Coturnix japonica: one gene and its partners. The protein of the gene in region 1 binds, or shares a complex with, the protein of each later gene. Links are inferred from orthologs where the notes say so. Each region holds a gene or a part of one and is shown in the gene's direction. Other genes may lie near its edges. The genes, in order: TBP, TAF11, GTF2H3, GTF2B, TAF13, TAF1D and TAF5.

Region 1 (3,252 bases):
CAAACCAGTAGTAGTTGTTCATTTTGGATGTAAACATTTTGCAACTCTCCTGCAACACACGCAATGTTTCTTTCCCAGTTAAATATTTGTGGCTTGGTGCTGTTTGCTTGAAGTAGTGCTTAATAAGGGAAATAAGCTGGCTCTTTTTTTCTCCCTTCAGCGAAGAACAGTCCAGACTGGCAGCAAGGAAGTACGCAAGAGTTGTTCAGAAACTGGGTTTTCCTGCGAAATTTTTGGATTTTAAGATTCAGAACATGGTGGGCAGCTGTGATGTGAAGTTTCCTATCAGATTAGAAGGATTGGTACTCACACACCAGCAGTTCAGCAGGTAAATGAAGGTTTGCCTACCTTTCATTCTTGCTGTGTTGTGACTAGCTTAGAGCGGCATCTGTTTAGATTGTTCCCTTACACCAGAGAGGATGCAGCATCTTTGTTCCTATCCTAGCTCTGCCTCTGGAGTAACTGATGTTATTTTCATGGGTAGATATTGGGCAGCGATTCTTTGCTACTCATCCCAAATGGTTTACATCTGCACTGTCCATTTCTGCAGCCCTGCAGATGAAGGGCAAGGACATTTGTCTGTTGGCACGTTGAAACACTGTGACTCTTCTCTTACAGCTATGAGCCAGAATTGTTTCCTGGCTTAATCTACAGAATGATCAAGCCAAGAATTGTTCTGCTTATTTTTGTTTCTGGAAAAGTGGTTTTAACTGGTAAGTCAATATTTTCTTCCAGTAGGTTAGATTTAGACTGCATTAGAAACAGTGCTCCCACAAGTATGCAATTTATTAGCTGCTCTTCTTCAGAAACAACAGTACTGGGAAAGGAACAGACAGCACAGTATTTTGTGGATGAGAACCCACAGAGCAAACCACATGTATTTGGTTAAACCATATAAGCAACCATCTTGAATCCTGATGAAGAATGGCGGGTGCCCAAAAAGAGCCTATCTAACGTTCCCAGCAACATCCATAAGTCTGCTTCTGTTCACTGGGTGCGCGTGACTGAGCTCAGTGTGTTGTAACAGCTTGGTTGGAGGCTGCTGCCATTTCCCTTTGATGCAGCAGCCAAAGAAGGGGAGATACCCATGCTCTGAGGCTTCCTTAACCTTGGGGATTCTGCCTATACTCTTTCTTCCTTTTCCCCCTTCACTGATAAATGAATCCACAGATGAAAGAAGGAACATATACCTGCACTATGGCCTCTGCTGGCCTCTGCTTCAGTCATCATTTCCTTGTTTCCCCAGATATTTGCACTGTTGAATAAAACTGCTGTTGAGGCCTTTCTCCATAAACATCCTATGGGGCTGCGCTTTGCAGTTGAGTGTACTGAGAAAACATGCTTAGAAAATCTCATTTACAAGTATGTCATAAGCATGAAGATGGTAATGAAACAAACTCTCAGGCCTTCATTTATTACCCTTCTGTTTATTCTAATAATGTGTGTTCTATAGGAAATGTCTATTTAAAGGAAGAATTACATGCAGAAATAGAGAACTGTTTGGTTCTGAAGAGAGAGAGGGAATTAAGTCATTTTCTCTCTTCTTGCAGGTGCTAAAGTTCGAGCAGAAATCTATGAAGCATTTGAAAACATCTATCCTATTTTAAAGGGTTTCCGGAAGACAACGTAACAGTTTCTACATACTGCAGAGAAATTGGGGGGTACATTTAGAAAGGCATCGCGTATGGCACAGCAGTAACAAGAGATGGACTTCAGTGAAACTGCAACACCAGACTTGGACTATTTCCCAGTTAGTGCCTATTTCCCTGACACTCAAGGGGAATTGTTTTATCGATGATGATGTCTACTGAGTTACTGTGAGTTGCTTTGTTGGGCTGCTCCTTGGGCAGTCCCTCCGAGTTTTATTTATATTCTAGCTTTTAAATAGTTTTAATGCCAGTTCTATTAATAGAAAATTCATAAATTGGTTTAAAAGATGAACGCAACCGTGTCACTCAGTGTATAAACCACTTGAGTTGCCATGTATATATGTTTTAATTTCCTTCCATTAAGACCATGGTTTTTATAATTTCCAAAGTTAAGCTTTTAAATTCCTTCAGTTTTCAATTCCTTTCGGTGCCAGACACATTCCCTCTTTCCAGTATTAAGCAAGGCAGAATAAATTTATTAATGAAAACAGCTCACTGTACATATATATAAATATATATATATATAATATATATATATTCCTCCTCTTTTCTCCTTCAGCTCCACATGTACAATAAACCCTGTTTATACAATTATGGGAACTGTCTTAATGAGTTTTACAATTGCACAGCTGGGAAAGTGAAATATATGAAGAGGTTCTTTTCAGTTTAATCTGGATTTTTGACTAGCACACACACTACTGTCATCTGGAGAAAATCTGAACAACGCTCTGGCTTGCTTAGCAGTAGTCATATCCTTGGCAACATTCAGCCCGATTACTTCCAGTGCACTAACAGGAAAGAGAAGACTGGCTACAGGAGTTTGTGTTCAAGTATGTGTTGCCTCCCATTCAACAGATGGGATTTATGCAAGTCTTACACAGCCACACTTGAGTGAATTGGAACAAAGGATTCTTGGTTAGCTTCTAAGATTTCTTATAAATCACTTTTGTATTTTACCAACTATGACAGTCTCACTATATTAGTGTTCATATAAAATGTCAAAGCCCTTCCAACTGGAGTCAGTGTGTACATAATCTCCCCTTTGAAGTGTGCTTGAAGCTTAATGGGCTGAGAACTAAGAATAAACTTTTTTTTCTCCAGTACATTTCCAGTAATAGCCTTTTTATGACTTGCACATTCTTTCAAACAGCTTTTATCTAAAACTAACCCAAATGTAACCATGGTCTCTTAATTAAAATGATGTTTCATTCCAGATAAGTAGTTATGGCTGGCTTTGCTACCGCACCATATGCAAATCCTGAGTGAACTTATTAATTCTTAATCTTTGATTATTGCTGTAGTGGTGCACGCTATGCACCGCTATTAGCAGGTCTTTCAATAACTGGTTTAAATGATCTTAGCAGGAAGTTGATGTACTTACCTGGGCAGGGCTACATAATTAAACAAGATACAGCACACAGCAGTGATGCAGTATGTGGGTAAGCTGGTCCAGTGTTCATCTGTATCGCCATCTGTGCTGCTGTAGCATCTGCAGAACTGTTAACTATGGCAGGAAGACTTTACACACTATATCATATAGTTTTCATTCCAATCAGCCAAGCTGTGCTGTAGTGACAGGATGGTTTGTGCTATTCCAGGAAAC
Region 2 (3,944 bases), on another chromosome or scaffold:
CTCCATCCCACACCATGCCATGGGAGCTCGGACAGCCCCTGTCCCACAGCCCTCCCACCCATACATTCCACCCAAGCACAGATTCCAACCCACAGCATCCCCTGTACCACAATCCCTTCCTCACCCCAAGCACACCAACAGCCAGTCTCAGAAGCCCCAAAATCCCAGCTCATCATTACAAACCCACTATCCCCACACATCTTGTGTCCTCAACAACGCACCCCTATCAACCCCACAACCCCTACACCCACACCTCACCTCAAGCAGCACAGTCCAAGTCTCCCAGCACCCCAACTTCAAGTCCACACACCTTCAATCCTTCTCCACAGCCCTACAGCACCCCAACCCCATGCACCCCACAGCTCCTATAAATCAATGCTCACCTTGAGAGCCTACAAACTTCACACACTGCATCCCCCACAGCCCTACTCTCCCCTCAGCTTTCACCCACAGCTCCCAGCCCCAAACTACCCCCTGTGGGGGGCTCCTACCCCACAGCCCTCACCCCACAACCTTCCCCATCCTCCTCACCCCACAGCCTCAGCCCTGTACCCACCTCTAACCACAGCTCCCCAGCTCCATGGGCCCACCCCTCATAGCCCCCATCCCCCTCATTGCCCCCCACTCACCTCAGCAGACTGGACAGCGGGTGTCCCACTCCTCCACCTCCTCCTCCACCTCCTCCACCGCCGCTTCCACCACCTCCACCGCCCCCGGATCCTCCTCCGCTCCCTCCTCCGCTTCCCCCGGAGCCGAACCCTGAGCTCAGCCGTTTTCCCGACAGCAGTTTCTCCACAGCGGGCAGGTTCCCGGTTCGTGCGGCCTCCAGCAGCTCCTGCTCCTTCCCCATGGCCCGGCCCGGCCAACGCCGCCGCCTCCCGCCAGGCCCCGCCCCGGAAGAACGCTGAGGGGGCGTGGCCTGAGGCCGAGTGGGCGGGGCCTGAGGGGCCGTTTGTTCTCTATTGTGGGCGCGGCCTAATAAGTGGGCCTGGTCTGCTGTAGGCCCCGCCCCTGGTGGATCTATATTCTCATCCCATTTCTCTTCATTATCAAATGGAACTGATACAAAATGACGCGTAGAGCCCGTCAGCACGGCTATAGATGGGGTGGATCCCACCCTGCTGTGCCGGGTCCACACGCAGCTCACAGCTCTGTAGGCCGCACGGCGCTCAGCCCCGTCGCCATAACGACAGCAGCGCCCCCTGTCGGCCACCGTAGCGTGACGTCATCACCAGGCGACCGTAGAGACGAGGCGTAATGGCGGATCCCGGTGAGCCGGGCCGGGAGGAGCGGGGGGGCGGCACCGAGCGGGAACCGGCACCGACCGCTACATCACCACACGGCGGGGATGGGACCATGGAGGAACCGACGGCCACGGACGGGGTTATAGAGGGGGACATGGAGGCTGGAGCCGGCCAGGAGCTCAAGGCGGAGGCGGCGGATGGGGAGGTGAGGGCTCAGCACCGGGTCGGCCGGGAGATGAGGAGAGAACGGGGCCGGTCCATAACGGTGTGTTGTATCGTAGGGGAGGAGCGGGGACGGGATGGACGGGGAGGATCCGAACCTGCAACAGGCGGCAAAGAAGGTGAAGGTGGAACTGAAGGAGAGGAAGGAGAAGAAGCACAAAGTGGACGAGGATGAGATCCAGAAGATGCAGTGAGTGCTGGGGAATGGGCTGCGCTGCAGGGCGGGGTTAATGGCCATGAGCAGCATCAGCATCGTTTGTGGTTCAGCTCTGTGAGTGATTCGTCCTCTCCCTTCCAGGATCCTGGTCTCCTCCTTTTCCGAGGAGCAGCTGAATCGCTACGAGATGTATCGCCGCTCTGCCTTCCCCAAGGCTGCCATCAAACGGGTACGACTTCAGTTCGTGCTTCAGCACAAAGCAAACGGCTCAGCCTGGCCACAATACCCCCCCCCCAACCTCCCCTCCCCAACATGGCTGTGGGGGGACAGCGATGCAAAATAATTGCTAGCACTGATCTGTAGCTGAATCAAACTAATCTCAAATTGTTACAGCTACCATGTGCCCAAAGCTATAGGAGCTCATTCCAAAGCTCTGTTACTGTTGTTTCTGCTCATTTTGTTCACTGGTGCTCAGTATTTGGCTCCAATCACTAAATATAATTTGAAGTGTTTCAGTGTTGCTGCATGTACCTCATTTGACTGACTGCCTGTTCTTTGCTTGTGCAGCTGATCCAGTCCATCACGGGCACCTCTGTCTCTCAGAATGTGGTTATTGCCATGTCTGGCATTTCCAAGGTCTTCGTTGGGGAAGTGGTGGAGGAAGGTGAGCAAATCACATTATTGTTCAGTAAAAAGTTAAGGACACAGAGAGCACATCGCTTAAAGCAGAGAGACATGAAACAAAGCTGGACTTTTGTGGCTTCTTGTCCAGGTGTGCAGCCTGGACAGTGCCCTGCAGGGCCCTCCTGCTTTCAGCAGCAGCAGAAGACAACTGTTAAAACTTGGGACTTCTTGCCCCTACATGAGCAGGCTGCAGTGCTACAGCAAAGATCTCATTAATGCTACTGTGGACAAATTCAGCTTAGAAGGGAAATGCGTTATTTAAGCCTCTTAGCCTGCAAGATTCTTTGTTAATGCAGTGAGCTGAGATCTCCTTGGGATAGACTGTGCAGCGCTGACCCAGTTGTGTCCCTGCTCATGCAGAGGAGGAAAAGATTCTTGTTTTTTGTGCCAGCCACTTAGTACAGGCTTGTCACACAAAACACACAGCCTGGACTTGCAGGGGTTGCCATCAGCCAGGATGATGCAGCTTTTGGCACTTCTGCTGCTTTGACTGTGTCTGCAGCTCTGTGTTGCCAGAGGCAGTCTGGATAAGCAGCTTCTCTGCTGTACTTATTGCTTCGTGTCCTTGGCAGGAGATCTGAATTATACTTAACAGAAGTGAAGCACAGGAACTGCCCTTTAAGTCAGCTGTAGGTGGTTCCTTCCTCCTATCCCTGCTGCACACAAGTCCCCAAACATACTTCACAAGCTAGAAGTGGTTTTAAAGTAGCAGGTTTAAGATGATGAGGCCTTTTCAAGCTCTTGCATGACTTAGTCTATTCCATAGCAGCTGGGACGTGGTTACAAAGCAGCTGATTCTGAGCTGGTATTGATGCCTCAAGGACTAGTTTTTCTTCAGAGAAACACCCAAAGCTGTTTCATCCCTTTGTACAGATAAAACATGAGCTTTGAACACTGTTACCTGTTGACTTTATAATTGAAGTTCAACCAGTGGGAGGCTTTTCAAATGTCTCCTGCTGGGAGAATGGCAGAGCTGAGCTGTCCTTGTTCACGTCAACTCTTGTCCTTTGTTTAGCACTGGATGTGTGTGAGAAGTGGGGGGAGCTGCCACCTCTGCAGCCCAAACACATGCGGGAGGCTGTGAGGAGGCTCAAGTCACGAGGACAGATCCCGAATTCCAAATATAAAAAGATCATCTTCCACTGAAGTGTCCTGGGATCAGCAAAGAGAAGACAAGTTCAAACAAGCTTTGGTTGTGCACCATATGACAGTTATGAGACAGAAGCATTCCCCTCTCCCGCTTGCAGTCTTCTCCAAGGAAGCTGTACCAAAGCAAGCTCAATTCAACGTGGATTTCAGTAACTTCAAGCATCGAGGTCTTATGTGGATTGCTTTCAGTTTACAAAACTACCATGAGTGTTCTCAGCACGGCTCATGGGGCAGAAGGACAGGGAGAAATGCTGCAGCAGAACCTGCAGTTGCTCCCATTAAACTCCCTGCCAGCAGCAGCACATTGTGTGCAGACATTCATGTAGGCATCCACGGGGATGTTTCCTGCAGTAACTGCTGAAGGCCAGTTTGTCAGCTTAGTGCTGTGCAGGCTCAAGGAGGAGGCAGATCCTTGGCCTGGTGCCTCAGGGTCCTCAGATCCAGCAGCCTGGGAAAGGAACATGCAACGTCCTCAAGTGTATTTACCC
Region 3 (3,932 bases), on another chromosome or scaffold:
AGCACCCTGAGGACCACTCGTGAGTAGGCGTGTGTCAATATCCTCTGTCAAAAGAGATTAAATGTTACTTCTTACTGAGCTTTAAAACCTTCATTTCAGTTAGGATGAACAGGGCTTTTACTTCTGTCAGTGTCCATTGGTGTTATGGTCTCAAACTAAAAGAGGGACAATTTAGATGGGTTACAAGGAAGAAGTTAGTTATGATGGTAGTGAAGCACTGGCACAGGGTGCCCAGAGAGGTGGAGGTGCCCCATCCCTGCAGACAGCCATGGTCAGGGGGTGGGGCTGTGAGCACTGATGGAGCTGTGGGTGTCCCTGAGCACTGCAGGCAGTGGGACTACATGAGGTATAAGAGTCTCTTCCAACTGAAATGACTCCATAATTCTATGATGTTGCTCGTATTTACAGATTTTAGGAGAGGATGCCACGCTGTGAGATGGGCAGGAATAATAACACCACCCCCCTGCTTTCCCAGCAGCGCAGGCAGCAGAGCCAGGACACGAGCAGCCCTTGTTGTACTTACAGCTCCTTGTTGTACTTACAGCTCCGTCTCTGATGAAGGGATGACACAGTTTGGCGATTTTGTTCCTGGACAGAGAAACCTTCCTGAGGAAGATCTCCCCGCGCTCGATCATGATTTCTTTGCACTTGGAGTAGTCCTGGAAAGGACACAGCGCTGCTGCCGGCTGCCCTGCAGCAGATGGGCCGGCAGGAGCCCGCTCCTTACCGAGTACTCGAGCGACGTGAGGCTGATGAAGCGCAGGAACAGCTCCCCGCCGGAGTTGACGGCCACGGACGAGTCCACCCGCGACAGCGTGTCGATGGCATCGCGCAGGCTGCTCCGCAGGCCCTGGATGGTCTCTCCTATGGAGACAGGGCACAGCGGGGGATCAATCGGGGCCGGGCCAACATCGCTTCGTGTCCGGCCGCCGGGGATGGGCGCCCACCTCGGTCCTGCCGCAGGAAGCCCAGCAGCGCGCGGATGGCGGCCACCGCCGAGGCGACGTCGGGGTCATCCCTCAGCTGCGCCCTGAAGGTCTCGATCAGGTCTGAAAGGCAAAGAGCCGCCTCACACTCGGCTCAGCCCGGCCCCCACAACACCCTCCATAGAGACACATTACCGTCCGTGCTCATGGCTGCCCCCGCCCTGCTCGGTGCCATGCGGCGCAATGCGATGATGTGCGGTATGACGACACCAGCGGGCGACACCAGCGGCGGGATGGGAGCGGGTGAGAGGAGCCGGCCGAGGGGGTCGGGACGGGGGGGGGATGAACCGGGCCGAGTCCAGCTCAGCTCAGCTCAGCTCAGCTCAGCCCCCGCGGCTCCGGCAGCTCCCGGCCCCCTGCAGTGACCCGCTGTGTGTTTTGCAGACGAGGAGCTGAGCCTGCTGGTCATCGTCATCGACACCAACCCCATCTGGTGGGGGAAGCGGGCGCAGGGGGAGGCTGAGGTGCGTCCCGGGGCCGCTTTTATAGGAAACATCGGTGGGAAACGTGAAAAGTATCATCAAACCGGCACAGGGTGCACGGGGAGGTGGAGGTGCCTCATCCCTGCAGACACCCACAGCCAGGGGATGGGGCTGTGAGCACTGATGGAGCTGTGGGTGTCCCTGAGCACTGCAGGCAATAGGACTGCATGACCTTTAAAGGTCCCTTCCAAATGATTCTCTGGTTCTACAGTTATGCATTTGTCAGAGCTTTGCTCAGCTGATGCCTCCCGTTAGAAAGGAAGCCCTGCACCTTCTAGTTCTGAGTGCAGTTCTGCGGTTGGTTCCTGTAGGTGCTGTCCTGCTGAATTATTCTTTCCCTTGGCAGTTCACCCTGTCGAAATGTGTGGACGCAGCGATGGTGCTGGGGAACTCCCACCTGTTCATGAGCCGCACCAACAAACTGGCCGTGATGGCCAGTCACACGCAGGAAAGGTACGGCAGCCGCTCACCACCATGAGTGTGACGTGTTGTCCACTCCCTGCCTCCTGGTAGAGAAAGAAATGGTCTGTTTTAATGCCTTATGGAAAGCAAGACAGAGTCAATGCATCAACGTATTGAAAGGAGGGAGGTGAACCATTTGTGTCACAACAATTTCCTGCCTTATGAACCCTATTTAATGCCTGAAGTATTAAAGTTATTTGGAGTTTTACTTCAAAATATCGCTGTCTATGAGTGGTCAGCTGATGTCATTTCTTCCTTACAGGCTGAAAAGCAAACCGTAACACTTTGTTCTTCCTCTCTTTTAGCCGTTTCTTGTACCCTGGGAAGCGTTGGGCTTCTGCGGATCTCCTTGGAGATGGTGGTAACTCCGTGGAATCCAATTGTTCTGGCAGCAAGGATGGAAAATATGAATTGTTAACTGCAATCAATGATGCAATTGCAGAAGAGATTAAAGACCTCATGACGAAAAGTAAGGGAATAAAAATTCTGGGTTTCATAACACAGAACTGCAAAATGTTCTCTGGGAGTTGCAGGAATTTCTTTGGTTCATTTGGATTTTAATATGTTTAGAGTAGGTGAGTTTTTATGGCTGATATTGGGTGACTCTGCAGTGATTCAACATGGCGAAGATTGAACTGTAGCACTCAGTGAGATCAGGCTGAGTGAATGATTTTGTGTATCAGAGTAATCTGTGTAATTTGCTTTGCAGCTGACATGATGGGCCAGCAAACAGAGACTCTCCTAGCAGGGTCTCTTGCCAAAGCACTTTGTTGTATCCTTTTGATGGCAGAACTTTTAAAGGCTTTTGTCTGTTTCTTGTCATACTAATTATCCTTCAATACAGTCTTGACTATCAGTGCATTCTATAATAATTTTCAAAACTGAAACATTTGCCTTATAATTGTGGATCAAACAACGTGTGTTGTTTGAGGTAGTGAGTACATAGCATGGGTGCTGCTGGTGCTTCCATGAACAGAGTGTGGATTCCTTGATGTTGTCTGATGTAGATATTAACAAGATGAGCAAAGAGGTGAAAGGTAATGCCTTTAGAGTGCTTTCACGAGTATTTGAACCTATATACCTAATATACCTAATTGCTTTGGGGCAATAAATGACATAGGCCCGCTTTCGTAACGTCTGAATTATTCTACAGATAATTCTACATGTATTTCTATACCACTGGGACTATCAGTATTTACATTCACATTGTCTGAGACATTAGATCTGTCATTTTGGATGTTAGATTGATTGGATTTACCTTAGTTAAAATGTCAGGTATCGTAGAACTGTAGGGACAACTATAGGGAATGGATGTACTCATGTGCTTTTATTTTCTTTTTGCTAATCAGCCAATCAGGAAATGAAATCAAGGATTTTGGTAAGAGCTTTGTTGTTAGTCTACTATTAGCCTTAAAATACATCAATGCTATATGGGCTAACAAGTCTCTATTGTTTTATTTAGGTCATAAAAGCTGCAGAAGACAGTGCATTACAATATATGAATTTCATGAACGTGATCTTTGCAGCACAGAAACAGGTGAAGCTATTTGATATATCTTATCTTTTATTAGCATATAAAGAGTGAAAAAAAATGGTTCATTTACATTATGGCTGTGATCTGGTTAAAGAATCCCTGGAGTGAAGACTGTCATGCCAAGAGTGAAAGGTAACCGAGGTTAAAAGTCAGATCCTACTGCTACATCTTAACGTGAAGGGTTTGCTGGACTAATAAGAGATTGCTGTGAAAGAACGGATGGTAGCCTTCTGTCCCGCCTTGCAGGTGCTGTGTACAGGATACCTTTGCTGATAGTTCTTTTATTGCCATACATTAGAAGGGAGGTGTTAGAATTCTGGATGTTTGTTCTGACAAAGGGAATGAGCTTTCTTATTGCTGTGGTGGTCCTGCAGCTGTAAAACATGGATGAGGTTACATTGTTCCTAGCTGAACTCCTTTTTTTGTGGGTCTCTTTACTTGCAGAGTATTTTGATTGATGCTTGTGTC
Region 4 (3,500 bases), on another chromosome or scaffold:
TCATATGCAGAGCTTGATTCGGTGTACATCTACCATTACGGCTCCTCTTACAATGATTTAAGCCACATCATCTTGAAAATGCTTCAGGACTGAATATGAAAGATAATGTTATTTGAGGCTTGAATTCCATGCTATTTGTTTTGATTAAACCTCCTCAGTTCACAGCTGTGTGTGTGTATATATATGTGTGTGTGTGTATATATATATAAACATATATGTATTTTTAATATAAGAGATAATAAAAATGCAAATAGAGAATAAGGGGCTCATGTATCATGAGTATTTCAAGAGGATGTGCTGCTAAAGTAGCTGCTATTATTTCTCCGAAAATATGTAATTGTGAATGCAGAACTTGTCAAGTAGGAGTGTGTTCCTTTGATAAACTGCTTTCTATTTTTGGGGTGAAATAAACATGCAGTATTAGTGTTTAATAGACGTGCTAAGCTAATTACTAAAAACTGTTGAAAATTGCATTTTAATTTTTTATACTGAGCTGAGTTTACTCCTACATTTCTGGAGCACTTGCTTAGATAAATTAGGTTAGAAAAGTAACTGGTCTGAGGTCTTCTGTTCTGAAGGTTTTAGATAGTACTTTTTGGGAGCTTTTGTTACTCTGCTGTTTGCCACTCAGGTGCATTTTCCTGGTGATTTAGGAGAGCACATCAGTAGGGTATGAGCCAGGAAATGCGTTTCAGAGCTTGAAATTAGCAACCAGTCTTCAAAGCTGATTCTCTGAGTGCTGTTGTGTTGCACTGCTCTTGTAAAACTGACCTTGGTGTTTAAGGTTTTGTTTCTGTCACTTACATGTGGGGCTTTATTACATACATACCAAGGCAACAGTTCCAAAGTGGTTTTTATGTTTTTAAAGGTTAAAAGAGTACTTAGTGTCATGCTTTCTTTTGTGTGTGGGACAGGATAATTAGCTGCTTGTAGTTGAATATTTTCCATCTATGGAAACATTTGGCCTATTTGTTCCAGTTTTGTTGTTATTTCTAGCTTGTGTCAGGCTTCTATGCAAGGCTTTTGCAAGGTGGAATGTGATTCCTTGAATGTCTGTAAGTAAAGAATATCCAGGAAAGCTGTTTTCTTGCAATAGCAGATTTCTTGGCAACACGAAGGTGTTTACACACTGCATCTTAATTCCACAAATGCTTTATATTCAAAGATTTGTTCTACTTAATCCTTTCTCACTCTGAAATAGCAGACTCAATTCTCTGTTTGTAATGTTTGCCAAAGCAGGCAGTGATATAACACTTTTTTGTTAGAGCAGGAATGGTTCATAACTCACAAGAGGCAGATCCGTGAGTGAGTCATTGAGGTCATTCCTACTTGTGTGGAAAAAATATTACATCATTGCCCTGTGTTCAGTGTTCTATTTATACCATGCCAGAATTTTAAGTACATTTTGCTTTTTTTAGATGCTGTAAACAGTACTGGGGGGTTGTCTTAAAGTAAAGTCACTGCTAGACCATAGAAGGTGCATTACTGAATCAAATATTTACAGAGAGTCCAGGAGCCAGAGGAGCATGCTGTCTGCTAATGAAGGCTCACAAGACATGAGCCTCTAGCAGGAAGAATAGATCTGTGCTCTCTTTTACTTTGTGGTGTTCTTAGTCTTCTAACTTTTGTTACTTCCACCTCTGCTACCTCAGTTTTCATTAGAGCATTAAATGAACGGGGAGCATAGCTATGAGCATGTCGGATGAATACTAGTGAGATTACTTCTGTCTTAAATGTATTCTTTTTAGGTTGGCCTGATTTCTTGGATTCATTTACACCTTTCAGTTTCAGGCACATTCCTTGCATCATCGTGTGTTAAGAGTGAAGTTCCCCATTCAGATTCTTTTCCACAAGTAATTTTGCAGTGACACTCTGTGTGTTGCTCCTGTATTTTTTTTTCGAGATTCAAATTGCATGTTATCATTGTTTGCTAGGGAGTACTTTTGTCTGTCTGCTTACATTTTTACTAGGTTAAACTTGCCTCTCTTGTTTCATACTTGGACTTCTGTGCCAGCAATCTTTCTTGCTGTCAGTACTATTTATTTTGGTGAATGTTGCCTTCACAACACTTAAACTTTGATAAAGATAATGAATTTTCCCTCAGGTTTAGCAAAGCAGAAGTGACGATTGAACTGGTTCTGATATTCTGCACAGAACTGTAATGCTTTTTTTTCTTGATGCTTTTCTCTACATGTTCCTAAAAACTCTGTGGTATTGCTCTGGAGACAACACCTTTGAGGTGCTGCTTTTACCAGCCCTGTGAATAGAATGAGCTGCACTACAAGCAGAACTCTTTTTTCAATCATTATTTGAATCATTGTGATTACTCCAGATTTTTTTTGCCTGTATTTATGTGGGTTAGAGATATTTCTCAGTTTGAATAGATGCTGCTGGAAACATTTAGGTGAATTTGAGAGGACTCCCAAGAAAAGCCTTTTTCTTAAGGGTCAGGAACAAAACAGAGCTGCAGAATGTTGTCATGGTGGTTTAGAAGGTTCGTTTCTGAGCCTGGAGCTCATTCACAAAAGTGATGTGCTACTGCTTGATGAGATAATGCTTGATAGCTAATTCAGGAGTACTTCTGTCAAGTGTCAAAGGTAACTTACTTGTTTGTTTGTCACTGACAATGTTCACTGGACAACTGTGAGCTCCTTTGTGTATTGAATAACCTGTGATATTCTTTAAGGATGGCCACAATTCTGTTTTCTGGGTATGTTTATTTAAACTTTCTCCGCAGCTCCTGTTATTGCTTTCTACTTAGATTGAAAAACCTAATAATTTTGGTGTGTTGACCTGCAGTTACATCCTGCTGGCACTTGGTAACAGCCTGCATTTTATAACTGAGACCTGGGCTGTGTAACCATGTTTCAGAAGCTGTTTCCAAATGTTATGTTGATACAAACTGTTGCTTTCTGTAACCACAGGTGATCGTGTCATAGATGTAGGGTCGGAGTGGAGAACTTTCAGCAATGATAAAGCAACAAAAGACCCATCTCGAGTTGGGGATACCCAGAATCCTTTGTTGAGTGACGGTGACCTGAGTACAATGATTGGAAAGGTAAAATATGAAATATTAAATGTTACTAAGCTTGAACGTTTTTGTGTCTGCTACGTATTTGTGTGTCCATAGGGAAACTATTCAGAGAATGCATTTACAAAGAGATTTAGTCAAAACTTGAACTCTTGCATTTCAGTAATCTGTAAAATGTGTCTGTTTCTGGCTGACAGCAGGAAAGGACTGAACTTTGTGACAAGACGAAAGTTTGCAGTGTTGCTGGGTTAGTTGCCACTCCTTGATTTGCAACATGAACCAGCTTTTTTGTAATAATGTCTAGATCAGATTAATATTGGAGACGTGGAGAGCTGCATGCGTGTTGTGCCTGCTCTCTCAGTGAATATTATGTGGAAACACTAAGTATAGAATCCTTCTATGGTGTAAGTATTCCAGAAGAAAGTATTCAGTGTATGTTTGGCTTGAAGTTTTGTGATACAGCTATGTC
Region 5 (3,991 bases), on another chromosome or scaffold:
TTGTAACTCCTCTGCATTGTGCATTCCGTAGGTTCAGCGTGATAGCATGGCATGCCTTGCTTGTCTACATCTGGTTGTCCCTGTTACGGGCAGATGTGGAAAAGGAAACCTACTTTATGGGATCTGCCTCCTGGTTGGCTGTTGGCTTGAAACAGTGGTGATGAATGAACAACACCTAGCAGAACTCTCTCCTCCTGCACTTGATCATCACTCAGTGTTGCATGAACCTTCTGTTTTAAATCCCACGTGAGTTCTGCAGCTGCGCTCAGCTCAGTTACCAGAGATGGGTCCATTACCTACATCTGTCCTGCCCTGGGAGCTGAAGCACAACACAGAGGTCCTGCAGCCACTGTACCTGGCTAAGGTCAAAGGGAAACCACATCTGGTACAGAATGTACAAAAAGGACTGCCATTAAATAGCAGTAGTTGTACACAGCAATTTAGACCAAAGCTAATAAAGTGCCTGTGTCACACTCTGGCACACATCTTGTCCTGTCTTAAGACTGCCAATTCTGCGTATACAGTTGCTGAGGTTAACTTACATTAAATGTTTATATCTCAAGGAAAAGTGATTCTTTCATAACCCACTCTGAGGCTTGAAGGTGGTGTTTCTACTGTTTGTTACGTTAAGGAATGTCCTGTAACTCTCAGATTAGGCTTGAAGTTTGTTTCCAGCAGATATGTAGGAAGTGGCAGGATGAAGAAACCAGCAGGGAGATGTGGATCTCCAGTTTCTACATGTAAGCAGAGATCAAGCATGTCATGCTACCGTTTTGCTTCTAATCCCAAAATGCACCAAAGCAAACTGGCCTGTGAGTGTCTGATTCTAGAAATAAATACAGTAGGATCTAGAGAGGTGGAAAACACTCAAGTCAATGTTTTGGGAATAATTGTGTGTTTGTATCTTAAAACCAGTGTCTTTCAAAAGCATCAGTGTAGTCCAAGCTGTTATCTTCAAGGCCTCAGTTTGTTATGTGCAAGATTTGGAAGCTCTGTGACAGATGTGGCAATAAATAAAATCGAATTAAGCAAGTGCTCCATAGATTCTTCTTGACTCTGCTGTCCAGTAAAGTTTTGTTTCTCCAGTGCCTGTACCTCAGCTGCACCTTTTTCTTCCTCTCCTTCGTCTTCCTAAGGAAAAAATCTTTTGAATAGCCTAAGTTCCCAAGGCATTTCTCACACTAGATGAGTGAGGGGTGGGAAACAGCCTGGGTGCTATAGACACGGCACAACAAGATGGCGGCCCCCAGGGGAGGCGGGAACGGGAAACCGGAAGCGGTAGCGGGCTGTGGCGGCCATGGCGGACGAGGAGGAGGACGCGCCGGTGAGCGGCGGGGATGGGTTGTTTGCGTTCAGCCTCGGGGCGGGAGGGAGCTCCCCGTTTAACGGCTTCCTTCCTCCGCTTTGTTCCTTCAGTTCGAGGAGGACTCCGAGGAAGCCGGCGGCGGTTTGGACGGCGGGCAGGGCAAGAGGAAGAGGCTTTTCTCTAAAGAACGTGAGTCCAGGTTGGGGGGGGAGCTCAGGGTGGGAGCGTTACTGATGCATTGAGCAGATGGAGGCCTCACGCTGTGTGTATTCCCGCAGTAAGATGCATGATGTACGGATTTGGAGATGACCAGAACCCTTACACGGAATCTGTGGATATTCTTGAGGACCTGGTGATAGAATTTATCACTGAAATGGTAAGTCAGTGGTGTGCCAAACACGGGTCTGTTAGCCTTGAGAAAAGAAGACTGAGAGGGGATCTGATCAATGTCTGTGAATATCTAAGGTGTGGGAGGCAAAGGGATGAGGCCAGACTCTTTTCAGCGGCATGTGGCAATATGACAAGGGGAAATGGCCACAAACTGGAGCATGGAGCCACACAAATGTGTGCAGGAGCTTCTACATGGAGAGGGTGACGGAGCACTGGAACAGGCTGCCCAGAGTGATTATGGAGTCTCTTTCCCTGGAGCTGTTCAAGACCCACTCGGACTCCTACCTGTGCAACCTGGTGTAGGGAGCATGCTTTGGCTCCCTCTGCTTCAATGAAATTCCTTCAGCATTATCCCAGGCAAAAACTCGTGTGCTGCTGGGAAGAAATCTAAACTCAGATATAAGAGGTTGGATGTTAGGGGGAAGTTCTTCACTAGGAGAGTGGTTAGGCCCTGGAACAGGCTGCCCAGGGAGCTTGTGGATGCCCCGTCCTTGGAGGTGTTCAAGGCCAGGTTGGATGGGGCCCTGGGCAACCTGATCTAGTAAAGGTGTATGTTTGGTGGCCCTGCCAGGCAGGCGGGTTGGAACTACATGATCCTTGAGGTCTCTTCCAACCCGGGTCATTCTGTGATTCTGTGATTGCCCTTCCGATATTAAGATAGAATTAACACATTTTACTCCACATGGATTTAGGGCAACGTTCGGAGGCTTTAAGTAACAGTTAGGGGAAAAAATCCATAGCTGACTTTGAGGCACCCAGTGGCATCGCTGTGTGTTCTGCTGACAGATGGCTCAGCTTTGAAATGTTATGTGCTTCTTGTGTTCTCTCAGTGCCTTTACACAGATGGAAATGCCACACCATAAAATAAATGCAGCCATCTGGGCCCTAAAGCCACTGCTGATCCAGACATTTGGATACAACTTGAGCACTTATGTTAAAAAAAAAGAATAAGAAAAGTGGTATTGTTTGTGGATCCCTTCTCATGAGAAGTTAGCCTTGCCTATTCTCAATAGAAAAAAACTGTCCTCTGATGCAGGTATTGCATACTGCATGCAGATTCTGCTTGATGCTGTTGCTCCTCAAGCACTTTGCAGATCAGGTGTCCCCTCCCCAGTCTGCCTTCAGTTCCAAAGACATTCCTGTTGTGTGTGCAGTGGTACCCAGTGTATATGAGGTACTGCACTTGGATGGCAATGCCCAGATCCTGCACTTGCTGCCTTCTAGACTGTTTAAAATGTCAGTAAATACAGTAGGATTGAGATCTGAAAACAAAACTAAAAGGGGCAGAGGAACACTGATGTTTCTCTCTTGCAGACACACAAAGCCATGTCAATTGGACGGCAGGGCCGTGTACAGGTTGAGGACATTGTCTTCCTAATCCGCAAGGACCCCCGGAAGTTTGCCAGAGTTAAAGACCTTCTGACTATGAATGAAGAACTGAAACGTGCCAGAAAGGCCTTTGATGAAGCAAACTATGGATCTTGATTCTGTGTACAGGCTTGACTGGAGCGTGCTGTGGGCTCCTGTTGCTCAAGAGGAAGAAATGTCATGTGTGTTGCTTTGAGGGGTTATTTGAGCTGGAGATCATTGCTGCTATCTGCTCTGCCTCTCAGCCTCTTGTGGTAGGCATTCAAACAGCTAGATGTTAACTGATTACACATGGCGCTCCTAACGTGTTTTTATACCATTATGGGAATTTGAGAAATGAGCTCTAAAGATATTTTAAAGGTGAGAAGTCTGCAGTAGGACAGCTGAATTGGGAATCTACAAGGCCCATGACAAGCTCTTCTCTACTTTGGTTATGTCGAGGTATTTTGTTGACAGGAAACCTGGAAAATAGATGTTGGTTAACTGGACAAAGTTGTCAAGCCCAAACTATTACAAATTCTGCTCTGTACATAAACTTGAATAAAGCAACTCGAGTCTGTGCCCACTCTTCGTAACTACACGTACACTGATCAGTTAACGCAGGGCACATAAAAATTGTTGGCTATTGTAGCATCTCATGAGCTCTAAGTGCTGTTTCTGTCCTAGTAGACACAGCTCTCCTGTTTTTACTGTACACTTAGAGAACTGAAATTAACCTGTTCCAGATTTAGTTGCACTCAGATCCTTGCCTTGCCCCTGTTGGGCAGATGCTCCACTATAAAACTGATCTGACTTAATTCAAAGAACTTTTTTCACAAGATTAGGATCACCGGGTAATTACAAATAAGAGCTCGATGGAAAGCACTAAGCTTGTGAAATAATGTTAGAGCAAGGAATAAGTATGTGCTGGAATAGCTACACATTGCC
Region 6 (4,251 bases), on another chromosome or scaffold:
CTACCTTGGCCATTGCCTGCTTGGTTCTGATTTCTTCAGGTTAGAAATTACAGTGTAACACACTGCAGAAGTGACTGATCTGTCAACAAAGATAATGGTTTAGTAATTAAAAACACACTGCTTTCAATATGCAATTTATCTGTCAAATTCACCCGAGAATACATAGATAACAGTAGAATTGTTATTATACCATTGAGGGAAAAACTGACAGCTTCAAGATTAGTGTTTTCTCATGGTTTAGTGGCAGCTATTAGTGGTTTAGTGGCAGCTATTAGTAATATGTGGATGGTTGTACTGAATAATCTTTCAGGTCTTTTCTAACCTTGGTGATTTTATGATTCTATGTGCTTTGGAAGCAGGTGTGCCTACCAGCTCTGCAGCTGCTTCAGAGCATTACATCTGTTAGTCCTCAAACTTCCATCTCAGTACAGACAAAATATGTAATACGCTGAACCTAATTCAAGGGACAGGTCAGTTATCTGTCCTTTGTAAACCCAAAGCCACGCTTTTCTAAGCACAATAACTGCCTTACCCGGTCTTCACTACCTTAATGTTTACTTTTCCAGCATTGGCTATGATGGACTTTCAACCTTGGCTCCCAGTTTCTTATAGGCACGTGTTTCCAAAGTGGAAGAAGGTTGTAGTGCATCTCAAAGCCAAACAAAGGCACCAAAGCAGCAGCAAGTTGTACAGCACTGGACTCTATATCAGCTCAGAGCCTTTCACAGCAAGCTTTGTTCAGAACAGAAATGTTGGAGCTTCTTTTGAAACGAGCTATATTTCAGTCATGCAACAGCATAACCTGCTACGAGGGCAAACCAGCAGCTCCAGGCACAAGCAGCTGGTTACATGCTACCTATAAACCAGCCCCAGAAATCATTAACTCCTTAGGCACACGCCTGCTGCACGTAACAAAATAGGAACCTTTCATGGAAGAAAAAGCGAGACTTTGAGCTCAAAGTTCAGCTACCTCAAGTTCTGCCTGTAACAAGCAATAGAGCAAGAAAGCAAGCTGTCTATGTAGAGTGATTTCCATCTTAGCTGGGGGCTCGTCCGCTTCTATGGGCGATTCTCCCTTCTGTGAAGGAAGCTGTCACAGGAACGCTGCAAACGGGATGGCAGGAAACAACCGACACGTCGAGACACTGCGGCTTTTCTTTTCCAAGCAGGAAAGGGCAGAAAACGGAAAGGAGAAGTTAATGGCTGGATAGAAACGCTTCATAGCGGGGGGCTGGGGGGAGAAGGAAGCACAGCCAGAGCCACAGAGCCAACAGGGACAGCGCCAACGTGCAGATGAACTCAGCAGAGAAGCGAGAAGGGAAATTCAGGCCACGTAAACGAGGGTAAAAAGAGTCTAAAAAGAGTCCCGGAGCCAAACCTGCAGGAGCCACCCTCTGGAGACCCACAGCGAGCGGGAACCGCAGCCAATGCCCACAACCTGCGGCCGCCCATCCCCGCCCCCCTCACGGCACTCCCCGCCCCGTCCTGCTCTCGCGAGAGCCGAGCGCTATTTAAGCTCGGGGGCGGCCATTGCGCGCCCTTTCCGGAGGTGAAGCGTGAGGTGAGTGTTGGGTTGGTGATGGCGGTGCGCTGAATCCGCTGCCATCCGCCGTGTGAGGACCCGCTGTGAGGCTGGGGTAGAATCAAAGCACATCCTGTCGCTGAGCGATTCCTAGACGGAGCGCAAGGAAGGCCCTGGGGCGGGTGGGATGTGGGAAATGGGCTCCTCATGGCGGCCCGGGGCTGTGGTAGAGCGGCGGGAACCGCGCAAAATGTCCGCCCCGGGATGGTGGGCGGGAGGGGGCTACTGTGAGGGAGACACATACGTTCCTTGGATGTGAAAAGCTTTGCCTGGGGTAAAACATATTTAATTTCTTTCAGGGCAGATTAAAACATGAGTGATACAGATGAATCCCACACCTCTTGTTCTGATGATCCTGATGCTCAGAGTCTCGTATCCACTCAGAGGCGAAAAAGATCTAAAATACCTGAGCGTGCAGTGAATGCAAGGAAGAGACGTTTGTGCTCGAGGCAGAAGGACGCCACTCCTGAGGAGTCTTCAGATGAGACTAGTAGTACAAATACATCTTCATCTGAGGTGGATAGCAGCGATTCAGAAATGTGAGTTACCTGGTTCCTTAGAATCACTTACGAACAAGACTCATAAACGTATGTGCTCTGTTGAATGTACACGTTTCTTTTTCAGTGATGTTTCAGCTGCTCGGGGCAGCAAACGCTCTAGGAAATGCACTGCTCCCTCTGCGGAGCAAAAGAGGAGATCGCAGCCTTCAAGGAAACAAGCAGGAGCTGATGCACGAGTGTCTGATGGTGAAAGTCCTGACTCTTTGCTCCCTGAGAGCCCGGTGAGGCCACCTGAACCCTCCCAAAGGAGGAAATCCAAGCTCGATTTGAAAGCCATTTTTGCCTATCACTTCAGAGGAAGGAAGTTTAAAACTGCTGCGCACCGAAGATACAGGAGCGGTGTTTCACGGAAGACAAAGAGACGCTCGGAACCCCCAAAGAAGCGTGGTGGGAATCGGCCCATGACAGCCCCGCCTCAGGAGCGAAGGAGAAGGCTTCGGGATCCAGGCTTTCAGTTCCCTTTTGTTGAAAAACATTATGGGAGGAAACATATTCCCGTAAATATGGTTCTTAGCTATGAGGTGAGCCCTGTGTTTTGTGGGAGAGAACCAGCTGACCTAAGGCTGTCATTTAATGTTACAGTCTGGTTGATTATATAAATGGTTCATTTCTTTGTTTGTATTTAAGATCTATTCCTTTTTTTTGCAGCAAGCAGCTGCGAAGGGATATTTCCAGTATGTTGAAATGCTTAAAGCTGAAGAACACCTCAAAAAGGCTTTGAAATCCCTTGAAGCAAATGAAGACTTAGAAAGGGAATGTCTGACAGCGCGGAAACATAAATATTTAGATGACAAAGGCCCCATTTCTCCTATCCAGGAGACAAAGTAAGTTCATTTTCAGTAGTATAAAAGTTGCTGTTTTGTTCTCAACTTAAAGTCTGTGTGTTCAGCATTGCTGTCTTTATTGTCTGGCACGTGCATTATATTAATTGGTGAAATACCTCTTGGATTTTTCTGTAACTCAGTAATGGATTCTGTTGGCTTAGCACTGCTGTGTTGTGTGCTCTCTCCTCATCCTTAAAAGAGCAGAGAGAGAAAATAAGTAACAGCTCATGGCTTTAGATAAGGATCTTGTTCCACAGGCTCTCAGTGTAGCCTCATGTAGAAGTGGGAGCATCCCAGACCTGTAAGCTGTAGCGTTTCCATATGCATTATGAGGAAGTGGTGCTGCATTAGGAGAACAGCTTGTTTATGCTGCGCTACTGTAGAAGTACAGATTTGATTTGAATTTCCTGCCTTTCAGCAATGACGATGATAACTGCTTGGGCTCTGATAATCCAGAAGACTTTGATGTCAGAGTAGTGGTGAGTAAACATCCATAATTTGAAAACTATAACCTGTTTTCTCTTTTGAGGTGTTAAATAAGTAACAGATGATGCTTTGAGTACTTAATTCTTGAGCTTGGATCTGGAATTAACCAGTTTGTGTGGTTTTGGTGTGTAGTACAAGAGGAAATTGGTTTGAGAGAAGTCTGAGCTCTTTGGAATTATGTTGGGATGTGCGGAAATTGGGCAGTTCTCTGAAGCGTCCATAAAACTTCCTAAAGGAAGTTAGTAATAAATTGGTACTTCAAGTGTCTCCAAACCAGACTTGAGAATGCTGTTTTTTTTTGTTCTCAGGACAAAAGCTGTTTCATTATAAGCAGCAAAATTCCCAACAAGAAGAAGAAATCAAAGGCCAAAACAAAGCGAGCAAAGTCAGCTGGAGTGATTGAAGAAGAATGCTGCTGCTAAGTGATCCTGCTGAAATAGCACCTTCCGCAGCCTGGCTTGTGGAACCAGCAGGTCACAGAGCTACAGGACTAAGAGTTCCAGCTCTTGTAATTAAGCAGTGTAGAATAAACTAATTCTCCTAAATCCAATATCATAATCTCAAGCTGCTTTAAAACAACTAGCAGTGTGATGAAAAGTTCTATTCCCTTCTTCCCCTCCTCAGTCCAGAGTGGGGTCTTACGAAGGTGACTGAGCAGAGATAGAAGCCCTTCAGCACAACAGGGACTATCTGCTGATCTTGTAGCATGAATGGGAACTTGTTGCGGTTGCTCAGACTAGATGTAGGAGTGGGGTTCTGGCAGGGTAATGCAGTGAGGTGGGTGTGGAGTCCTGCTCAT
Region 7 (3,500 bases), on another chromosome or scaffold:
GTGAATGTAATTCTTAAGTGAAGACTAGTTCTTTTTTGCAGCCCCTCTGTATTGCTGTGTCATCAGAATTAATCATCAACATTCAAATGTCTCTTATGCTTGACAACCAAGGGTTCAGTTCTTCCCGAACAGTTTATTGTTGTTTACTTCAGTAAAATGCTGATTTTAATGGGAAATACTAAATAGTAGCTGCCCAGTGGAGAGTTCTATGTATCATAGAATTGTTACAGAGCTTATGCAATGACTACACAGTCTGTTAACTTGGTATGTAATGTACTATACTTTCTCCTGTGACAGGAACTACCTGTTGTCCTGTTCTGAGGATGGTACTGTCAGATTGTGGAGCCTCCAAACATTCACTTGTCTGGTGGGATATAAAGGACACAACTATCCAGTATGGGATACGCAGTTCTCTCCTTATGGGTATTATTTTGTGTCGGGGGGACATGACAGAGTGGCTAGGTAAGAAATTAGATGAGTTTTCTACATACCAGTTTTGTGGTGAATTAACTCAGAAAGTGATTATTGGCTGATATAGTTAATAACCTATTACTGGAAATAAATTTTATTACACACGAATTAAAATACTAAGCAACTATTTTAATATATGTTTGTTTTCCTTTTCAACACACATCAGAGACATCATCCTCCTATGTGGTCATTTCATGTTAGAAATATTTTCTCCTGTTGTTTAATAACCATGACAGAATGTCCTTTATTTCTCCCTTCCCAAAAGCATAGTTTTCCAGAATCGATCCTTCTAATTCAACAAATTTACCAGTAAGAAGCCACTCATTAATTATTTCTTTTATTACCGTGCAACAGATTCTGAACTTCATTAGTGCTCCCTTTATTAACAAAGCTTTTCTTTTCAGACTGTGGGCAACAGATCATTACCAGCCTTTACGGATATTTGCTGGCCACCTTGCTGATGTGACGTGTACTCGATTTCACCCTAACTCCAACTATATTGCCACTGGCTCAGCAGACAGGACTGTACGGCTGTGGGATGTTTTAAATGGGAATTGTGTAAGAATATTCACTGGACATAAGGTAAAGGCACATCACCAATGTGACTTAATTTCTGTGGTGTGATTCTGAAGAGTAGCATTCAGAACAAGTGCAGATTGACTAATTAGCTCGTTTGGCTTTCCTCACTGCAAATGTCTTTTGTAGGGTCCGATTCATTCATTGGCATTTTCTCCTAATGGACGATTCCTGGCTACTGGAGCAACAGATGGCAGAGTTCTGCTGTGGGATATTGGACATGGTTTGATGGTTGGAGAACTGAAAGGGCACACTGACACTATCTATGCGCTCCGATTCAGTAGAGATGGGGAGATCTTAGCATCAGGTAAAAGTCACTGGAAGCAAACATGTTTCCATTGTGCTCCATCTGTTTGAAGTGGGATTATGTAATGATAATGTACCTTAAGCTGAGTAAGGCTAATTAGAATCACTAAATCCTGAGTGAGCCGCTACCACAAGAGTGAATGGTTCCTTCAGCTGACCAGTGCTCCAATGAAAGCAGAGTCCACTGGGCCTGCAAAATACTGAGCTCTTCCCTCTATCAAAGGAAGTATCCAAGTGTCAAGAAAAAAGTCATTATGTGACTTAGAATCATAAACATCTGGTGGAGTTGGCATGTAGGCCTAAGGTTGTTTTGCCTTTTCAAGTGCTGGCTGATAGAATGGAAACCCAGCTGTTCTCAGAGGTGCTTCTTGGCACTTTATCTGCAGTGCATTCCTGTTAGATGGCAGGTGATGGCTTTTATTCCTGCTTTCACTGTGTTAAAGGCTTGTTTAAAAATGCTTCGTTGCAGGATGAGTGCTTAGTATTCAGTTATGAGCTGTTCTGCTTTGTGAGTTTTAATTCCTGTTGTGTTAATTTGCTGTCTAGCAAGGAAAAGACTTTTAAATGTTACTTTCCTTTTTTCCCTTGTAGGTTCAATGGATAACACAGTTCGGCTGTGGGATGCAGTGAAAGCATTTGAAGACTTAGAAACGGATGACTTTACTACAGCCACTGGACACATAAACTTGCCTGAAAACTCCCAGGACTTGTTACTGGGTACATACATGACCAAATCAACTCCAGTTGTACACCTTCATTTTACACGCAGGAACTTGCTGCTGGCTGCAGGAGCCTACAGTTCACAGTAGATCAGGAAGACGTAAGACTGGCTGTGCCAAGTTGTTGCAGCAGTGACCTCAGAATGTGAGATGAAGAGGAATGTCTTGTATGGGTGGACTTTGTTAGTCCATTGCAGGAAAAACAAAACTGTAAACTAACTCAAGTGACATCTTCTCTATTCTGCTCTCGTAATTCACATCTTTTGCTCTCACAGTTTGAAAATGCTGGAGACTGACAAGACAGTGTGAATTTAAAGGAATTGTTTCATGGTGCTTTTGATAAATGTATCCATATGTATATATATACATACATACATGTATATATATGACAATGGCTGTCTCCTCTCAGAGATGGTATTGAGCTCTGCTGAAACTTCTGGAAAGTTAACAGCCCTGGTCTGTGTTCTCAAATGAGTTTTTTTAAAGCACTTAATATATGGTTTGCTAATGTTTAATCAGTCTCAAACACAGGTGAAAACTTCAGACTCAGAAAAGGAGAATGTAGTTTAACTCACTATAGCCTGGGCTGGGCAACAGGAATGGTGAGAATATTATAGCAACAAATAGGGCATTGAAAGAATAAGCCCAACAGGCAGAGGCTTGTGGGGAACTGCAGAGAAGTTACGTGTAGTTTTTAAGTACCAAGTCCTGAAAAGATTTCAAACTTTGTGCTCTTTTGAGGTATTAGAAATGGAGATCTTGTTATTCTGTTCTGACAAGAAGCTGCTGCTGTGCGATAAGGAACGCAGATTGCAATGTGAATTCTTTGGAGACACGCATCACCCAATCTTAAAAACAATATTCTTAAGCCCCCACACGTTCTATTAGATTTGAAGAGCTTCAAAAACCTGCATCCTTTGAGAAAACAGTTTAACAGATCACACTAAAGCTAGTGAAGGATCAAGAAACTGAAATCTGAATTCAAGAAAAAGAAATCTGCTGGCTCTCTACTGAAGATGCAGAAAACCAAGACTTGACGTTTCCAAGGTAAACAAAGAACTACCTCCTGTCTCATCCTTTTTCTGACTAAGCCTTGGAGTAAAGAGGCATCGGGGCATTAAATGTCAAAGGAAAGGTGGAAAATTCATAAGGAAGCTAATCCAGAAACATTCTTTAAAGAGAAATGGTTAAAACTAAACTATGATGGATTTGATCTGTAAAGGTACATCAGAACTTCCTAGTAGTCAATACGATCAGCTGGACTTAAAATGGTAGTGAATCAAACAAGTTACCTAAAAGCATGTACAGCTTTGAGAGCTTGAAGAAAACACTGCTGCATTCTGCCTTTTTATTTTGTACAGTTTTATACTTTTGATAGTATAATAAATACTAAAACCACACAGCTTGTGTCTGTAGACTGTATGGTGG

What was found.
Region 2: TBP (region 1) and TAF11 share a complex: the UniProt entries of both Homo sapiens proteins name them as parts of the TFIID basal transcription factor complex. The link is inferred for Coturnix japonica from reciprocal best matches to the Homo sapiens genes TBP and TAF11.
Region 3: TBP (region 1) and GTF2H3 share a complex: the UniProt entries of both Homo sapiens proteins name them as parts of the TFIID-containing RNA polymerase II pre-initiation complex. The link is inferred for Coturnix japonica from reciprocal best matches to the Homo sapiens genes TBP and GTF2H3.
Region 4: TBP (region 1) and GTF2B share a complex: the UniProt entries of both Homo sapiens proteins name them as parts of the TFIID-containing RNA polymerase II pre-initiation complex. The link is inferred for Coturnix japonica from reciprocal best matches to the Homo sapiens genes TBP and GTF2B.
Region 5: TBP (region 1) and TAF13 share a complex: the UniProt entries of both Homo sapiens proteins name them as parts of the TFIID basal transcription factor complex. The link is inferred for Coturnix japonica from reciprocal best matches to the Homo sapiens genes TBP and TAF13.
Region 6: TBP (region 1) and TAF1D share a complex: the UniProt entries of both Homo sapiens proteins name them as parts of the transcription factor SL1/TIF-IB complex. The link is inferred for Coturnix japonica from reciprocal best matches to the Homo sapiens genes TBP and TAF1D.
Region 7: TBP (region 1) and TAF5 share a complex: the UniProt entries of both Homo sapiens proteins name them as parts of the TFIID basal transcription factor complex. The link is inferred for Coturnix japonica from reciprocal best matches to the Homo sapiens genes TBP and TAF5.

The regions. Positions count from the first base shown.
Region 1 is NC_029518.1:36,557,770-36,561,021, reverse strand, and holds the end of TBP (TATA-box-binding protein), read left to right. Parts: intron 1-160; coding exon 161-328; intron 329-618; coding exon 619-713; intron 714-1,550; coding exon 1,551-1,630; 3' UTR 1,631-2,752; downstream 2,753-3,252. UniProt on the Homo sapiens protein: The TFIID basal transcription factor complex plays a major role in the initiation of RNA polymerase II (Pol II)-dependent transcription.
Region 2 is NC_029541.1:4,152,968-4,156,911, forward strand, and holds the start of TAF11 (transcription initiation factor TFIID subunit 11), read left to right. Parts: upstream 1-1,144; 5' UTR 1,145-1,257; coding exon 1,258-1,449; intron 1,450-1,525; coding exon 1,526-1,656; intron 1,657-1,764; coding exon 1,765-1,852; intron 1,853-2,190; coding exon 2,191-2,287; intron 2,288-3,322; coding exon 3,323-3,453; 3' UTR 3,454-3,944. Other genes in the region: ANKS1A (ankyrin repeat and SAM domain-containing protein 1A), read right to left, coding at 630-850. UniProt on the Homo sapiens protein: The TFIID basal transcription factor complex plays a major role in the initiation of RNA polymerase II (Pol II)-dependent transcription.
Region 3 is NC_029530.1:4,203,384-4,207,315, reverse strand, and holds the start of GTF2H3 (general transcription factor IIH subunit 3), read left to right. Parts: upstream 1-1,132; coding exon 1,133-1,229; intron 1,230-1,370; coding exon 1,371-1,450; intron 1,451-1,814; coding exon 1,815-1,921; intron 1,922-2,235; coding exon 2,236-2,399; intron 2,400-2,639; coding exon 2,640-2,702; intron 2,703-2,937; coding exon 2,938-2,967; intron 2,968-3,279; coding exon 3,280-3,308; intron 3,309-3,392; coding exon 3,393-3,467; intron 3,468-3,908; coding exon 3,909-3,932. Other genes in the region: EIF2B1 (translation initiation factor eIF-2B subunit alpha), read right to left, coding at 1-44, 543-659, 728-864, 948-1,049, 1,122-1,161. UniProt on the Homo sapiens protein: Component of the general transcription and DNA repair factor IIH (TFIIH) core complex, which is involved in general and transcription-coupled nucleotide excision repair (NER) of damaged DNA and, when complexed to CAK, in RNA transcription by RNA polymerase II.
Region 4 is NC_029523.1:13,188,906-13,192,405, forward strand, and holds part of GTF2B (transcription initiation factor IIB), read left to right. Parts: intron 1-2,924; coding exon 2,925-3,058; intron 3,059-3,500. UniProt on the Homo sapiens protein: General transcription factor that plays a role in transcription initiation by RNA polymerase II (Pol II). Involved in the pre-initiation complex (PIC) formation and Pol II recruitment at promoter DNA.
Region 5 is NC_029516.1:74,709,029-74,713,019, reverse strand, and holds TAF13 (transcription initiation factor TFIID subunit 13), read left to right. Parts: upstream 1-1,191; 5' UTR 1,192-1,297; coding exon 1,298-1,324; intron 1,325-1,416; coding exon 1,417-1,495; intron 1,496-1,584; coding exon 1,585-1,682; intron 1,683-3,010; coding exon 3,011-3,181; 3' UTR 3,182-3,629; downstream 3,630-3,991. UniProt on the Homo sapiens protein: The TFIID basal transcription factor complex plays a major role in the initiation of RNA polymerase II (Pol II)-dependent transcription.
Region 6 is NC_029516.1:166,172,789-166,177,039, forward strand, and holds the start of TAF1D (TATA box-binding protein-associated factor RNA polymerase I subunit D), read left to right. Parts: upstream 1-1,451; 5' UTR 1,452-1,561; intron 1,562-1,881; 5' UTR 1,882-1,894; coding exon 1,895-2,121; intron 2,122-2,206; coding exon 2,207-2,663; intron 2,664-2,790; coding exon 2,791-2,966; intron 2,967-3,384; coding exon 3,385-3,445; intron 3,446-3,760; coding exon 3,761-3,874; 3' UTR 3,875-4,251. Other genes in the region: C1H11orf54 (ester hydrolase C11orf54 homolog), read right to left, coding at 1-13. UniProt on the Homo sapiens protein: Component of the transcription factor SL1/TIF-IB complex, which is involved in the assembly of the PIC (preinitiation complex) during RNA polymerase I-dependent transcription.
Region 7 is NC_029521.1:20,669,837-20,673,336, forward strand, and holds the end of TAF5 (transcription initiation factor TFIID subunit 5), read left to right. Parts: intron 1-297; coding exon 298-462; intron 463-875; coding exon 876-1,053; intron 1,054-1,176; coding exon 1,177-1,354; intron 1,355-1,944; coding exon 1,945-2,162; 3' UTR 2,163-3,475; downstream 3,476-3,500. UniProt on the Homo sapiens protein: The TFIID basal transcription factor complex plays a major role in the initiation of RNA polymerase II (Pol II)-dependent transcription.